Linked DNA regions of Elephas maximus indicus. Each later gene encodes a partner of the first gene's protein in a complex. Links are inferred from orthologs where the notes say so. Each region holds a gene or a part of one and is shown on either strand. Other genes may lie near its edges.

Region 1 (7,024 bases):
TCTTGGAGGCTAAAAGTTTGAATTCAGGATGCCAGTTCCAGGGGAAGGTCTTTCTCTGTTGATTGTGGGGGAAGGTCCTTGTCATCAATGTTCTCCAGGACTAAGAGTTTCTCAGTGCAGGGACCCTGGGTTCAAAGAACATACTATTCTCCTGACTCTTCTTCCTTGGTGGTATGAGGTCCCCTGTCTCTCTGCTCACTTCTGTCTTTAATATCTCAAAAGAAATTGACTCAACATACAACCTAATCCTATAGATTGAGTCCTGCCTCATTAACATCATAGAGGTAGGGTTTATAACACATAGGAAAATCACATCAGATGACAAAATGGTGGGCAATCACACAATACTGGGAATCATGGCCTAGCCAAGTTGACACACATTTTTAGGGGACATGATTCAATTCATAACAACCACCCAGGGATTTTTTTTACAGGTACAAGTGTTAGGATTTCAGCACTTGTGGGACACAGTTCAGTCCAAAACAGTAGAGGGGAGGGACAGGGTCAGGTTTATGCTTTAGGAAGACCCCTTTGTCTGCCTGTGCAGGGGGGTAGCTGGGAGGGAGAGAGGCGGGACTGGGGCAGGACACTAGGGGAGAGGAGGGTCCTGGATCAGAGCATGGGTTAGAGGAGGGGGAAGGAGGTGCCATATTCAAGAAACCTGGAGGAGACTGCTGCTTAAACCAGCCTGCCCTCCAGGACGCTCCAGGACGCCAGGAAAGGGGCCCTCAGGGCTCGCCCACCACCACCAGGGGGCAGCCAGGGACCTTCTGGGCTCTAAACTCTCAGCCGCTCCTTCCAGGATGGGGATATTTGCACTGGGGTTTGGAGACCCGGGAAGGCGGGAGGTGTTTGTGGAGCCCCAGCTGGGAGCCTCCCTGCTGTCCTACCCCCCACCCTGGCCTCTGGCTCCCCAGAGCCCCCATCCCGCCTCACCCAGCAAGAGATTTAGTCAACACAGCCCGGCTGCTTCTGGCAGGAAAATATTTGCCCTCAGGATCTGAGGTGGTCGCTATGGAGACATGCTCCCGCCAGGCCCAGAGAGGGTGAGAGGAGCCTTGGTCTCTTCTCTGTCTGTGTCTTTGAGAGGGTTTACCCCTACGTTTAGGTGGAAAGTTTACTCCCCTCTCCCCAACCCTCTGGACTCCAAGTAGCCCCCCCTCTCTCTGAGTCTTTTTCTCTTTGAGATTCTGTCCCTCTGTCTGTATTTCTTTACGGGTCCCTGTCTATCTGTGCCATCTCTTCATCTCTGTCTCTGTATCTCTCTCTCTGGATGCCTGTCTCTGAGTCTCTGTCTTGCTTCTTACTCTCTGGGTTCCATCTCTGTGCTTCTGTCTCTTCATGTCTCTGGGTCCCTGCCTCTCTCAGGGTTCATGTCTCTGGGTCTCAGTCTGTCTTTGGGTCTCTGCCTGTCTGTCTCTCTCTCTGGATCCCCACAGTTTTAGGTTTGTCTCTCTAGGATCTCTGAATCTGTGTCTATTTCTGTCTTTGGGTTCTTCTCTCACTCTTTCACTGCAATCTTCTCTCTCTGTGTGTCTGTCTGCACCCCTGTCTCTGGAGTGCTGTCTCTCTCTGGGTCTCTGTCTCTCTCTGGACCCCATGTCTGTCACTGTTTCTCAGTCTCCATCTTCTACTTCTTCTCTCTATCTCTCTGCCTCTCCTCTGTCTCTTTCTGTCTTTGTGTGTCTCTCTTGGGGGTCTCAGTCTTTCAGACAGCATCTCTCTGCAACCCTGAATCTCAGGGGACCATCTCAGCCCCCCACTTCTGGTCTTAGTCGCCATGGGTTGTCCCCTCTCCCCATCTCTCTCTGCCTCATTTCTCTGCACCATCTGCCAGCGCTCCAGGCCCCCGCCTGCTCCCCACAGGCCCTGCTTGGCCAGGCAGCCCCATGGGGGAGGCCAAGGCCCTCCAGCTCCTTCCCAGTCTCTGCTTCCCGCATCCTGCGGGGGTGGAGGGGGGGACAATATTAGGAATAAGGTACCTAAGGCCTGGTCATTGGTAGGGGGTGGGGGAGGAGAACAAGAGCTGGAGGGAGAGAAAAAGACAGACAGACAGGCATCAAGAAAGCAGAGTGGAAAAGAGGATGAGAGAAAGGAGAAATCTTGAAGATGAGCAAAAAGAGACTATTCTGGAGAGAAAGACCAATAGAAATGAGCAAAGAGGAAGAATGACACTGAGAGAAACCAGAAGAGAAGAGAAATGACAGACAGACAGGAGAGAAAGACAGGGGCAAGCTGAGTGTGGAGTCAGAAAAAAGAAGGAAGGAGAGAGTCACACTAAAGGAAGAGAGAGGGTGGAGTGAAGCAAGAAAGACAACAGAGAGAGAAAAGGAGGGAGGGGGGAGTAGATCGCCGGGTCTTTCTTTCAAGGCTCCTCTGGGTGGACTCAAACCTCCAATCTTTTAGTTAGCAGCTGAGCATGTTAACCATTTGCACCACCTAGGGATTCCAGAGACAGGAATAGAAAAGGAAAATGGAGATTGATAGGGGAGAGTGTTGAAAGGCATGGAGAAGGGGCTCCTCTCTTTCTGGGTCCTCTGGGGTCTAGGGGTGCACATGGCTGCCTGCGAGGGGTTGGGTGATGGGGGGCGTGGCTTCTCTGCCCAGTCCCAGGGCAGAAAAAGTTCCAGAAGCCCTGAGCTTGGGAGCCAGAGAGGGCTTGTGGCCACCCCTGGTGCCCTGCAGAGAGATGTAGCCTGAAGGGCAAAGACCCAGAGGACCCCAGGGGGGCTGGGCTGGGCTGTGCAGGGGGGCTGGGCTGCGCAGGGGGGCTGGGCTGTGCAGGGGGGCTGGGCTGTGCAGGGGGGCTGGGCTGTGCAGGGGGGCTGCGCAGGGACCCAGGCATCTACCTGTACCCACCTCCTCCTCCTGTACTCCATGCTCACTCCCCACTGGGTCCTGTGTTTTCCTCAAGGGGTGATGAGGTGGGGTGGACAGCTGAGGATGGAGCAGGAGTGGAGGGCTGATGATGGAGGGGGTGAGGAAATCTGCACTACAGCAGCCTGAGGCCACCCCGTTCGTCTCCCGGTCTCCTGATCTTGGTCATCTCTGTCCTCAGGACCTGGTCTTTCTGGCGCTCTCACCCATCCCATCACTGTCTCTCCCGATATCTTGATCATTCAGTTTGTGTCTTCTCTTGGTCCCTGCTTTCTCTCCCTTGGTTTGTCTTTCTCTTGGTCTCTTTCTCCACCCTTCTCTTGATTTCTCTGTCTTTCCCTGTTGTCTTTGTCTCTATCTCTTGATCTGTTTCTCTCTTTCTCTTGGTCTCTCTCATTTTCTCTATCTCTTTCTGTCTTCCTCTCTCTCCCCCTCTGGGTCTGTCTTGGCCCTTGGTTTCCTTTCCCTCTCACCACTTCAATCCCTGTCCACTGCTTCCCCTTCCTCCTTGCTTTCCCCTCCCCCTTCTCAGTCTTCCCACTCCCACCCCTACCCTAGGACCTCAGCCACCCTACCAATCCATCACTTTGCCTCTAGGCATCGCCCAGGCCCGGGTTCCTCTCCCCCAGCCCCTTCCCCCCAGCCCCAGCAGGGGGGCCAAGGAGAGACCCCACAAGCCCAGCTTCTCCCCGAGGTGCCGGGCAATCTCACACTCCCTCCCCGCTCCACTCCATGAGAGCAGCCTTTCCCAGGACCCAGAGGGCACCAGGAATGTGGGGCAGAGAGCAGGGAGGCCAGCCAGAGACCAGGAAGTGAGGGATCCCCCTGGCCCTCCCAGCCTGGCCTCCTTCCAGCCTCTGGTGCTGGTCCCCCTACCACCCCTTACTCCCTGCCCTTCTTGGGGCTGCTTCTGGGCCTCAGTTTCTCCTCTCCAAAATGGGCAGACTCGACCCTGCCCCCTTCTCTTAGATCCCAGGGGAACTCATGCTCATGAACGTTAATCACATGATTTATGTGGGACAATTGGTGGTTTGTGTCAAAGGGACGCAAGGGCGCTGAAAACGGGAACTCAGTTGCTAAGCCCTCTCCTCTCACATGAAATTTTAGGACAAAGGAAGAGACTGGAAGTAGAGGTCCTAAGAAGGTGTGTGAGTCAATAGTGACCATGACCATGGGACTGGTGAGACTAGGGGTTAGTGTATGATTGTGGGGTGGTGGGATCGTGGTGTGTGACCCTCTGTGTGACTGTGTGTGATTGTGGGGTGGTAGGATTGTGGTGTTGACCCCGTTTATGACTGTGTGTGATCGTGGGGTGGTGGGGACATGATGTGTACCCCTACTGGGTGATTGTGTGTGGCTGTCAAGTGCGAGTGGGGCTGTGATGGAAAGTTGTGTGTCTGTGTGATAGGACTTCATGAGGGAGGGTGGCAGTGTGACAGTGTCATGCTGAGAACTTGAGAGAGTGTGTGTCTTAGTGACGACTGGACCTGTGTGTAGGGGTGTGACTCTGTGAACTCTGGGGGTGATTATGCGAAGTGTGTGAGACTGTGTGAGAGTGTCAACAAGTGTGTGTGTAGGTTGTGTCACTAAAGTACCAGTGACTATACAACCGTGTGTGTTTATTGCACCAATAGTAATTTCTGAGCCCCTGCTCTGTACTCAGACCTGTGCTGGACTATACTGGGCACTCAGCAGTGACCAAGATGCCTGGCTCTGCCCTCGTGGGCACATGGGCCATTGGGAGAGATGGATGGTGATTGTAATGTGACTAGTGATTGTGTGGACACGTGTGCATGACAGCATCACTGAGACTGTGAAGCTATGATTGTGTTACTGTTGGTACAGGAGTCCACTGCCCTGGGCGTGTGGCTGTGTGTCACTGTGTCAGCCTGGGGGTGAGAGACTTTGGCTCTTTGGGTGTGACCGTGGGAAGGTACACCTGGGAATGACGTGTGACTCTATGAGTAATCGTGTGAGATTCTGCAACGGTGTCTCTCTGTGGCTCAGGTGGTATATGTAAAAATGGCGTGGCAGGGGTGTCTGACCTCTCCTAACTATACCAGGGGGAAGGAGATTCAAGATCAACAGCCCAACGCTGATTCCTATGAGGCAAAGGTCAGACATACCTCCTCTCGCCAGCCCTTTTTACCAATTCTGACACCGTCTGTCCTTCCCACGGCACTCTCTACTTCTCTGCTGGGTTCGATAATTCGTTGCAATGGCCACCCAGAACTCACAGACAATACTTATGATTATGGGGTTTATTAGGGAAGTAACGAGTTACAATTCTGGTTCAGGAACACTCAGGATACAGTTCTTCCATCAGGACAGCCTCTTCTCAGCCGTGCCCAAAGGCTGGTCTCGGCCTGGCCTCTGCCCTGCTTGGGCAAGTGTTACAAAGCTCTTTTAGTTCTGCTGGTAAGTGCCCAGAGGCACCCCACTCTGCCAGTAAGCCTGCCACCTAAAGGCGCTCAGCTTTCTCTTTCTGTGGGCCAGGAAGCCCAACCGCTGTCTCCTGTGGTCTCCTTCCTGTGCTGCCACCATTTCTCTGCTGCTGCTTCTCACCGTCTTTGGTGTTACAGCTCTCTCTTTAGGTCCTGGTTCCAGGAGCTTCTCAGCACAGAGATTCAGGGCCCAAAGTACACACCCCACTCCTGGCTCTTCTTTCTTGGTGGTGGTGAGATCTTCTCTTCCCCGCTCTGGGACAGCTCATTTTAAGCCTAGTGGGATGGTAAAACTGATTAACCCCTTCCTTAGGGCTCCATACACTTTATTTGCATGGTCCCATTCAACCATTGTGTGTGAATCACAAACGCTATGGCTAGAAGGTAATTCACTGTGCCACAGTATGGGTTGTGTGAGACGCTGTGTATGTGACTTCGTGGCTGTTGCTCTGTGTGTGAGTGACTGGGTGGGAGGTGTGCTGTGTGACTAGGGGGCTGTAGGTGGGCCAGTGAGAGACCGTGCATGGTGGGGGGTCCTTGGGACAGTGACAGTGTGACTGCTCTTCCACGTGACCTGGAGTGACTGTGATACTTACATGCCATGGTCCTCCTGTGCTGGATCTTAGCTGGAGCTCTCCCTCCTGTTCTGGGTCCCGCCCTGGCTCCGCCCCCTCCCACCACCCCAGGCTGCCAGCGCCTGTCACCTCTTCCAGTGCCCAGACAGGCAGTGGAGACGGCAGCAGCAGCAGCTGAAGCGGCGGCAGGAACAGGTGAGCATGAGTAGAGCTGGGGGCAGGTGAGGGCTCTCCCAGTCCTAGCCTGTTCCTTCTGCCCCCATCTCCCCCTCAAGTCTCTGGGTTTCTCTCTCTCTCTCTCTCAGCCTATACCTTTGTCTCTTTCTGTCTCTCAGTCTCTGTCTCTTGGTGTCTGTTTCCATATCTCTCAATCTGTTTAGCCTCCAGAAGGCTTTGCTTCTGTATCTCTGTCTCTCTTTCCCACTCTGTCTCTCTCCTTGTCTTTGTCTCCTGGTCCACATATTTGTCGCTTTCTATGTCCCTTGGTCTCTAGTCTCTAGCCGTGTCTCTCTTTCTCTGTGTGTCTCTAGTCTCTGTATTTCTGTCTGGTATGTCTCTGACTGCGTGTCTGTCTTCCAGGGGGCTCCTTCTGAGATTCTCCCTACTTTCCCCTTTCCCTTTCCCTACGTGGTGCCTGGTAGGGGGGCGGGGGATTTTGGACCAGAGGTTTCCAGGTACTGAGCCCCTGCAGATGTAAGCCAGGGTCTGACGCCTCTCTAGTCTCTAAGGATTTGGATGTTGGGAGAGGGGCTGTCCTGCCGATCCTGGGTTTTCTCCACAGCGGGGAAAGTTTTATAGGGTCAGGTTTTTCTGGGCCATTTGAAACCCCCGAGAGTGGGAACTCCGATGGGGGACTCACGCTCCACCCTAGCCTTAGCTGACGGTTGCTACTCCCTCCTCTCCAAGGCGGTCCCCAGAGTCTCTGGGTCTAGACTCCGGGTGACGCTGGCGCTTCCGCCCAGCGCAGCTCTAGGGCAACCGCCCCCTCAGCAAACACCCCCGCCCCCTGTCCACCGCCGCTGCCGGAGCAACAAACTGGAGGCGGGCCCGGCAATCGTGTGCCTCAGCCTCGGTGCCGGCCACTCCTCGCGCCCCCCCAATCCCGCGTGGGGCCGGGGTGGGGTGGGG
Region 2 (7,792 bases), on another chromosome or scaffold:
TGGACTAAGTCAGTCCAGATTTATTACCTCATCTTTTTTAATTCTCACTATAGAGTGAAGACGAGTGTCTGTGTGGTGCAAACATTAAACACTCAACTGCTAACTGAAAGGTTGTTGGTTCAAAACCACCCAGAGGTGCTTCGGAAGGCAGGGTTGGTGATCTGCTTCTGAAAAGCCACACAGTCTTGAAAACCCTATGGAGCAATTCTGCTCTGCACACATGGAGTCACTATGAATCTCAACTTTTTTTTTTTTTTTTTACTAGAGTAAGACAGGGGAGGTCATTCTAGAAAATACTACCAGTCAACACTTGCAGGATGCCTTCAAGTTAATAAACACTAACTTTGCACTTACCTATGAATCAGGGCAGGTTTTGTTGTCTTAGGACTCTGGAAACTGCTCCATCCTTCATAAGCCCATGCAAAGATAAGGCAAAGAAGAAATCCCTCCCTTTTTACCCCTTCCTATCTTCCCCTGGGATGGTGTTCCCACCAGGGAGACCGAGGGGCTCAGGAATGCTGCTCTCTCTGGGAGGTCCAGCCCTTTGGTCTTTTATCCTAAATGCACAAGGAATTCCTTCCCTCTTTTTAGCAGGGCTCCCTGGGAAGTGACAACCCTGTTCTAACCCCTTCCCAGTTCTAACTCTTCACTGCAATCTTCCTCCCATGGATTAGGCTTACTAGTAGCTTGAGGTATTTTCCTGACAAACAAAAGCAGTCAATGTAGACTTTTATAATAGCAAGAGGGATTGCAGTTAGAACTAAGAGGGGACTTCTAAACAGAAACCTTGTAGCAGATAGCCAGCCAAAGGTGTAGGTAGTATATATATTCTTTCTTTGAAGATCTTTCTGGAAAGTATATATCTTGACCTGCGTGGTGCTGGAGGGTGATATGGACAAAAATGTTTGGAATTGGGACTGTTTGTTATGTGATTGGGAAAGAAAACTGGAGGTATTCTTTCTAGGAATCAGGATGGACCAGATGACAGCAATGTTTGTCAAGCATCATGCCCCCTTTTGTCTCCTTTACAAGAGGGCAAGGAGAATAAATCTCCCACCTTGTGTAAGAGGGGTTAGAGAGGGACGTCTACTTTCTGAGTCAGCCAGTGAGGTTGAAGACCAAGTGGACTTCAAAAGCGGAGTCCATGGTGGGGAGGCTGCAGCCAGTCCTCTGAGTCACCCTGGCCTGGCTGCCAAGCCCACCCTGGAATGTCTCCTGTGGACCTGCAGGGCCCTGGAAGGGGGAGGGGAGGAGATGAGTCACTGTGAACTGGAATGCTCTTCTGCTAGTCCAGTTCTCATTCCTGGGTCCCTGACTCAGTACCCAGGAGGGGCTGGAAGAGTACCCTGGGTTCTCTTGCAACAGGACTGCACATCACTCCCTGCCCACACTTTACCCTCTGATTCCCTGACTTCCATGCCTCCTCAGACACCCCAACCCTGCACACTCTCTACCTGTCTGGTCCCTCAGCCTTTGTATCTGGGCTTTAGACCTGTCGGGGCTTCCTCCTGCCTCCCCATCCCCAGTGTCCTCTCCAATCCTCAGATCCTGGAAATTCCGTGAAGCGGAACTGGAGCCCGGTGGCATGTCTCATCATGGCTTGGACAGGCTGAGTGGGCTGTCAGTTGGATTTATTAACTCTTTTGACCAAGTCCAGCAGGTCTTTCTAACCCTCAGAAGCTTCCCAAGGTCTTTTTTCCATTCCCTTGCCTTCCAACATGCATGCCCTGAGGGGAAGGGAAGGGTCGTGGGCACCCCTGAGAATGTGGCTTCTCTGATATTCTCCCCTGGATCTCCCCACACTGCTCCATTGATCCCGGGGTGTGTAGAACTTGCAGACTTGAACAGGAACTTTGGGCTAAGCGGCCATTCTCACATCCCTTCCCCCAGCCACCCCTGCCCCTCCCCCAGGCGCATTCTTCTCTTGTGTGTCCTCAGCAGGGCATGAGGGCCAAAGGTCAAAGGATAACTGGAAGTGGGGGGTGCTGCAGAAAAGTCCCCTGCAAGAAGGGGTGGAGTAGGGGCTTCAAACACGACTGGCCTTCAGAGCAGCCCATCCCCCGGAACAAATCCACAGGTTACCAGGGCAAGGGCTCAGAGCTGCTGCGACTCATCTCAGAACCTTCCTTGAAGGTTCTGGCATCACCAGAAGGTTCTGGTTTGGCATCACTTAGGGGTTCCAAGGAACTCTGTCCACTTCTTTTTGGATATCTTCTGCCTCTAGGCACGGATGGATGCCCAGGTTGGGGGGCTGAAGACTTTTGACACAAACTCTCTGAGCCCATGAACCTGTGTTGCTCAACAGGAAGCAGGATCCCAGCAGCCCCACCTCCCCTTTGGAGATCAAATCTGAATTGATGTCTCAGCTCTGCCCCGTTTGTAGCTGGGATACGGAATTTAGAGAGCTTGCCCAGGGAGAAATTTTTCTGGATGGAGAGAAATGGGTGGATAGGTGGGAGGAGGTTTCTAGGAAGCAGAGGTGAGTTACCCTCCTAGTCCAGTTACCTCTTATCCCACACAGGCACTTAATTTCATGCTGGATCTGCTCCCAGGCTGGGGAGTTCACCTGGAAGGGAAAGTGGCAGGTATTAAGCCCTAGAGCTAATAGGCAGGGCATGAGCTCAGTTGTTCATGGTTCAGTGGTACCCATTGTGAGTGGAGAAGGGTGGGCTGCCAAACATGCAGTCTATGTCCTGTCCCTCCTAGACGGATAGCCTCTGTGGACGGAGCCATGTGGTAAGTACTTGGGCAAAGGCAACGGGAGTACCTCGGGAAGTCTTCAGTCTGAGAGGGGAGATCCAGCCCTTAGCCTTAGGAAGCCCCAGGGTGATGCGGAGAATATAACCCTGGCTGACATCGCTGCCCTCAGAGAGCCCCCAGTCTGATCAAGGAGATATAACTTCTGTCTTGGAGAGCCCACCAATCTGATAGTGAGGTACAGTACCACCTCACCTCAGGGGTCCCCAGTATGATGGAGGAGACAGGACCACATACTTTCCTCATATAGAAGAGCAGGGCGTTTAAGGAGGAATTGAGTCTTAAAAATCTTATCTTTACCGATAGGTCAAGTAGCTGCCTCCATCTTTCTCCAAGTTCTCAAGGTATGAATGTGCCTGTTCTCTATTCTGTCCTGCCCAAAGCAGGAAGACAGCTTGAGTATAAGTTCTCAGTTCACCCATCTACCACCAGAAAACCCCCAGCTTTCATGTTCCCTTGACCTCTGTCCTCTGATTCTCCGGTTCCTTTTCCCAGCCACCTAGGACCTTGCCCCAGATGGAGACATTGCTACAATGCCAAACCCACGGGCCCTTGTCCAGACCCAGGGCTCAGACTACTGTGGCCCCACTTCTTCCCACCCAGAAGTAGACTTACTAACTTGTAGGAGTGCCCCCCAGCTAGTGCCCACTCCACCCCAAGCCAGCCCTCAGCAAGTAAGCCCTTTCTAACTAAGGGCATCTATAAATGAAGTGGGGGGCGGGGGGTGGGGGTGTGTGTGTACTGGGCCCTGTGCCCAGAACGGAGGAGAGGGAAGGAGTAAGGGAGCACTTAGGGTACCCTACTCCTGGGCAGGCCGCAGACAGCAGTTGGAGATACCCAAAATGTTAATCACCAATTAGTGCAGTTCAGGTGGAAAGGACAACTTTATTATGTGTAAAATGGACTTAATGTGGCAGGAGCTGTGGGTTTAATTTCTTGAGATAAGATGCTTTTAGGCTAATCAGCTGGTCTCGGATGCCTGGATATAAAAGAGCTGAAGTAGGCTTTCTTGACGCAGCTCTAAAGAGCCAGAAGGTAGGAGGAAGAGACCCTCGCCCTTTCCTTCTCCTGGAAGAGCCAGAAAGGAAGTCTGGTAAGAGAAAACCTGGGAGAGGGGATGGATCGGATGACCTGGAGAGGAGGTGGAGGGGGACCTTGGTAACCCTGAGATGCTCAGCCTCCTAACATTTCACTTTCTCTTCCTCTGTATAAGAAATAAGAAGTTCTCTTTGATGGTTTCTTTAACATTCAGGTAGCCAAGGCGGGAAGATGGGGTCCTGCAGCTCACAAATCTCTAAGTCTAGCTTAGGAGGGAAGTTCTCCATTGTACTTTATCTCTACTGAAAACCCATGGATGAAATGGGTCAAGCCCAAGGTGGGAAGGTATAGCTCAGACTGCAGGAAGAACAACCCTGATGGTTAAGCCTGAGAAGGGGAGACTGGGATGATTCTATGTGTAGTTTTCATTTAGGGCAAGAGGGTTACAGTGATTTAAACGGCAGCCAATTTGAGAGTAGGAAGGCTGGTTGATACGAACCTCGAAGGGCTCTAAGGAGATAATCTTGCCAAACCACATGCCTATGAAGTTCAGTCCCAGAGCCAGGGACAGAGGGGAGGCAGAGTGCCCAAGCACACAGGTCTTCACTGCTTTATCCTCCCTGGATCTCTCCCTCATTGCCCTTTTCCCACCCCACTCAGACCCTATCTATAAACAAAAAAGCAAACGCCCCTCTTGGCCAGGCTTCAAGTCCTTTCTAGTCATTAACCCAAATGCCCAACACCCGCCACCCTCCCAAGGTGTTGCTTCAGTCTGTTAGAAAAGCTCCAAACCCCAGGACTCAGCCCCTCCCCAGCTTTCAGAACCATCTTTATACAAGCTGCTCCCTCAGCACAGCACTGTCTGCCTTATCTTGGTCCTTTTGTCTTCAGCTCAGGATATAATCCTTGGAAGATGGTGACCATGAAGATCTTGTCTCTGCTGCTAGTATCCCTGCTCGTGGCAGTGGTGCTAGGGGAGAAGGAGAAGGGTCACTCCAGGTAGGGGTGATGGGAAGGGAGGGATCAACAGCAGAGGAGGGGGCTGGGGGATGACTGGGTTCTAGGCTCTGTTGAGTGAGAGAGAGAGAGAAGAAGGGATCCCAGGCCAAGAGGAAAGAGACTCAAGGGAAAGATTTTCAGCAGTCTAAGTGCAGAGTGAGACCAGAACCAGAGGGTTTTATGAGCTACTGTGGTAGCAGGAGAGACTGGTTAAATATCTGAAAGGATTTCTTGGTGGTTAAGGGTCTGAAGAAGATGACAAAATCTCCCTTCCTAGGGAATGCTTTAAGCATTTCTTTTTGCATGTACTCAATATAATTTTACAGAGGGCCTCCTGTGGGCTAGGCACAGGAGATCTATGTCAATGAGAGTCCACAAATGGCTCCTGTCCTCATGGGGCATATAGATCCAAGAGGGAACAAAGAACCACAGAGGCATGTTGCAAAATATCATGAGTCCTATTAAAAAAAAAAAAAAAAAAAAAAAAATTTTTTTTTTTTTTTTTTTTAATGAAGACAAGTAGAGAGTATTATGAGTGAATACAGCAGGGGGCTCTGATGGTGGTTTCAGGGACCAAGGGAGACATGTCTGAGGAAAGAGATGGACCTTCTGCAAGAACAAACGATACACGCATGTAAATTTCAGGCACAGGCTGTCAGGGATGTGTACACGGATAGGCAGCATCACCCAGATGTTAAGAATTTAGACCTGAGGCCATACTGCTTGGGGGTAAATCCTGGATCTGTCACTTATGCTCTAAGATATATTTATCTCTCTGCATCTTGGTTTCTTCATTTATAAAGTGGGGATAATAAGTAGTATCTACCATATAAGGGTGCTGTGAAGACTAAATGAGTTTATGTATTAGAGGGCTAATAAGAGTTCCTGACTCATGGCAAGTGCTGTCTTATAAGAGTTCACTATTTTTGTGACGGAAAGAAAACCAAAGAATGGAATCAGGAAGGTCCAGGGCAAGAGGAGTAAAGGGAGGAACTGTGTGAGTCAGTCCTTTGAAATGAGAGGAACCCACATCCCCCTTGGCCCAGAATCCAGAGGCATACCCACTCAGGATGCAGGAGGATGGACCCTTGAGCCTCAGATCAAATCCCCAGGGGGTTGATGGAGTGACAACAGGAGTCTCCAAATTAACCAGCTCCCAAGAAATGGGCTGGTTTGCTTTCAAATGCCTGCTTCCTGTTAGCAACAACTTTTTACCCAGCATTGTGATTTTCCCCCTCTCTGCTACTACTCTGGCATCCTGATCTTCCCTCTCTCTCCCTTCCCTGTCTCTCAGACCCCACCCTAAGGTCAGCAGCCCTCAACCTCGAGGCCCGAGATATGCTGAGGGGACTTTCATCAGTGACTACAGCATTGCCATGGACAAGATCCGCCAACAAGACTTTGTGAACTGGCTGCTGGCCCAGAAGGGGAAGAAGAATGAGTGAGTCCTTGTGCTCACCCTCTCCTGTTCCACATTCCCAGGGCTCTACCTTCCTATGTTCAGACCAGGCTACCATACATGGCCACATGGGGGTGGAATGCACCACTCCAGGTTGCATCTTTCACTTAGACAATGACGAGGAGTTGTCTTGGCCATGGTGGCCCTGGCCAGATCTTGACTGGGGCAGCAGGCCAGTCTGGGGGCAGAAGTAGGGTGATTTCTAATTCTTCTAAAGGAGTCCCTGGGTAGTATAAATGGTTGCTAACCAAAAGGTTGGAGGTTTGAGTCCACCCAGAGGCACCTCAGAAGAAAATCCTGGCAATCTACTTCAGAAAAATCAGCCACTGAAAACCCTATGGAGCACAGTTCTACTCTGACACACATGGGGCTGCTACGGGTTGGACTCCACTCCACTGCAACTAGTTTTTGGTTTTACTTCTAAAGAGGTGTCAGGTAGATGTGTGGGAGAACACAGAGGATCCCCAGGGGGGTGGGGATGAAGGCAGGAGGAACTGAGCTGCTTCCAATGACTTTTTGGTGGTGGCAACTTCAGATTTTAGAAATGGGATAACTGCCCCCTTCTTCATTCTCTTTGCTGTATCTCTTTCCCTGTTTGGTCAGCGTGGTAGATTCTGAAAAGCTGTTCACTGGCGGGGGCAGCTAAAGGCAAGGAGTGCAGTGCCCTTCTCCTAAGGTTGAGGTACAAAAAGATTCAGGAGTCCCTGGACTAGAGAAGGCCTGGAATCTCAGCCCCATCTACTCCCTAATCTTTATCCTACCAGCTGGAAACACAACATCACCCAGAGGGAGGCCCGGGCCCTAGAGCTGGCCGTTCAATCTAACAGGAATGAGGAGGCAAGGGAGAAGCAGAGGTGAGTTGGGGGAAAAGGGGTGGGAAGGGGCCTCCTGACTTCTGACCTGCCCCTACTTCATTGTTGCCTGTCCTGGACTCCAGGGCAGAGCAAGGGCCTGTGATAAGCAACCCCTTCCAGTCAAGAGTTCAAAGAGGGGGCTTCACTGAGCAAACTTCTGGAGGTCAACCCAGGCTTAAAGAAGCAGCCTCGGAGGGGTGGGGGAGGGGCTTTGGGAGGGGCTTCTGGGCCAGGGTTTCTAAGATTGATGACTTTGTATGTAGACAGGGTCACTGAGTCAAGAGAGAGACAGTGAAGGAGTGGTGCTCAGGAAGTGGCCTCCCCACTTCTCCCTGACAAACCTCAGGAAGGCTGTTTGTGGAAGAGGGAGACCATCCCAAAGACAGTTCCCTGAAATCAGTTACTCCCTCTCTGAGGAAAGGGAGGAATTTGTGGCACAAATCATTCTAAAGAGTGAATGTTCCCAGAGTAATCTTTCAGGTGTGGGGAATGCACTCTGGAATATTTTTCAAGGTGGATGAGTGGGCTTTCTCACACCAGAATTCTGTTTGGCTTTACCTGTATTGAAAAGCCCACCTTCCCCGGTAGAGATGGATTGCCCAATAAGCCAGGTAAGCATGTGCTTAGGGCATCAGCAAAACAGAGACACCAGTTGTCCAAAGCAAAAACCCACAGATGCCAAGCA

Evidence for each region. The genes of interacting proteins can lie anywhere in the genome.
Region 2: the proteins of GIPR (region 1) and GIP are in contact, whole or in part, in a cryo-EM structure (PDB 7RA3), measured with the Homo sapiens proteins. The link is inferred for Elephas maximus indicus from reciprocal best matches to the Homo sapiens genes GIPR and GIP. Residues at the interface, in NP_000155.1 of Homo sapiens: Gln30, Thr31, Ala32, Leu35, Tyr36, Trp39, Tyr68, Trp71, Leu88, Trp90, Arg101, Arg113, His115, Asn120, Gln130, Arg131, Leu134, Glu135, Leu137, Gln138, Tyr141, Tyr145, Arg183, Ile187, Arg190, Asp191, Pro197, Gly198, Pro199, Tyr200; in NP_004114.1 of Homo sapiens: Tyr52, Ala53, Glu54, Gly55, Thr56, Phe57, Ile58, Ser59, Asp60, Tyr61, Ser62, Ile63, Ala64, Met65, Asp66, Lys67, Ile68, His69, Gln70, Gln71, Phe73, Val74, Trp76, Leu77, Leu78, Lys81.

What each region holds. Positions count from the first base shown.
Region 1 is NC_064829.1:103,973,720-103,980,743, reverse strand, and holds the start of GIPR (gastric inhibitory polypeptide receptor), read left to right. Parts: upstream 1-3,983; 5' UTR 3,984-4,021; intron 4,022-5,947; 5' UTR 5,948-6,091; intron 6,092-7,024. UniProt on the Homo sapiens protein: This is a receptor for GIP. The activity of this receptor is mediated by G proteins which activate adenylyl cyclase.
Region 2 is NC_064837.1:44,609,752-44,617,543, forward strand, and holds the start of GIP (gastric inhibitory polypeptide), read left to right. Parts: upstream 1-4,708; coding exon 4,709-4,794; intron 4,795-6,088; coding exon 6,089-6,235; intron 6,236-7,017; coding exon 7,018-7,107; intron 7,108-7,792. UniProt on the Homo sapiens protein: Potent stimulator of insulin secretion and relatively poor inhibitor of gastric acid secretion.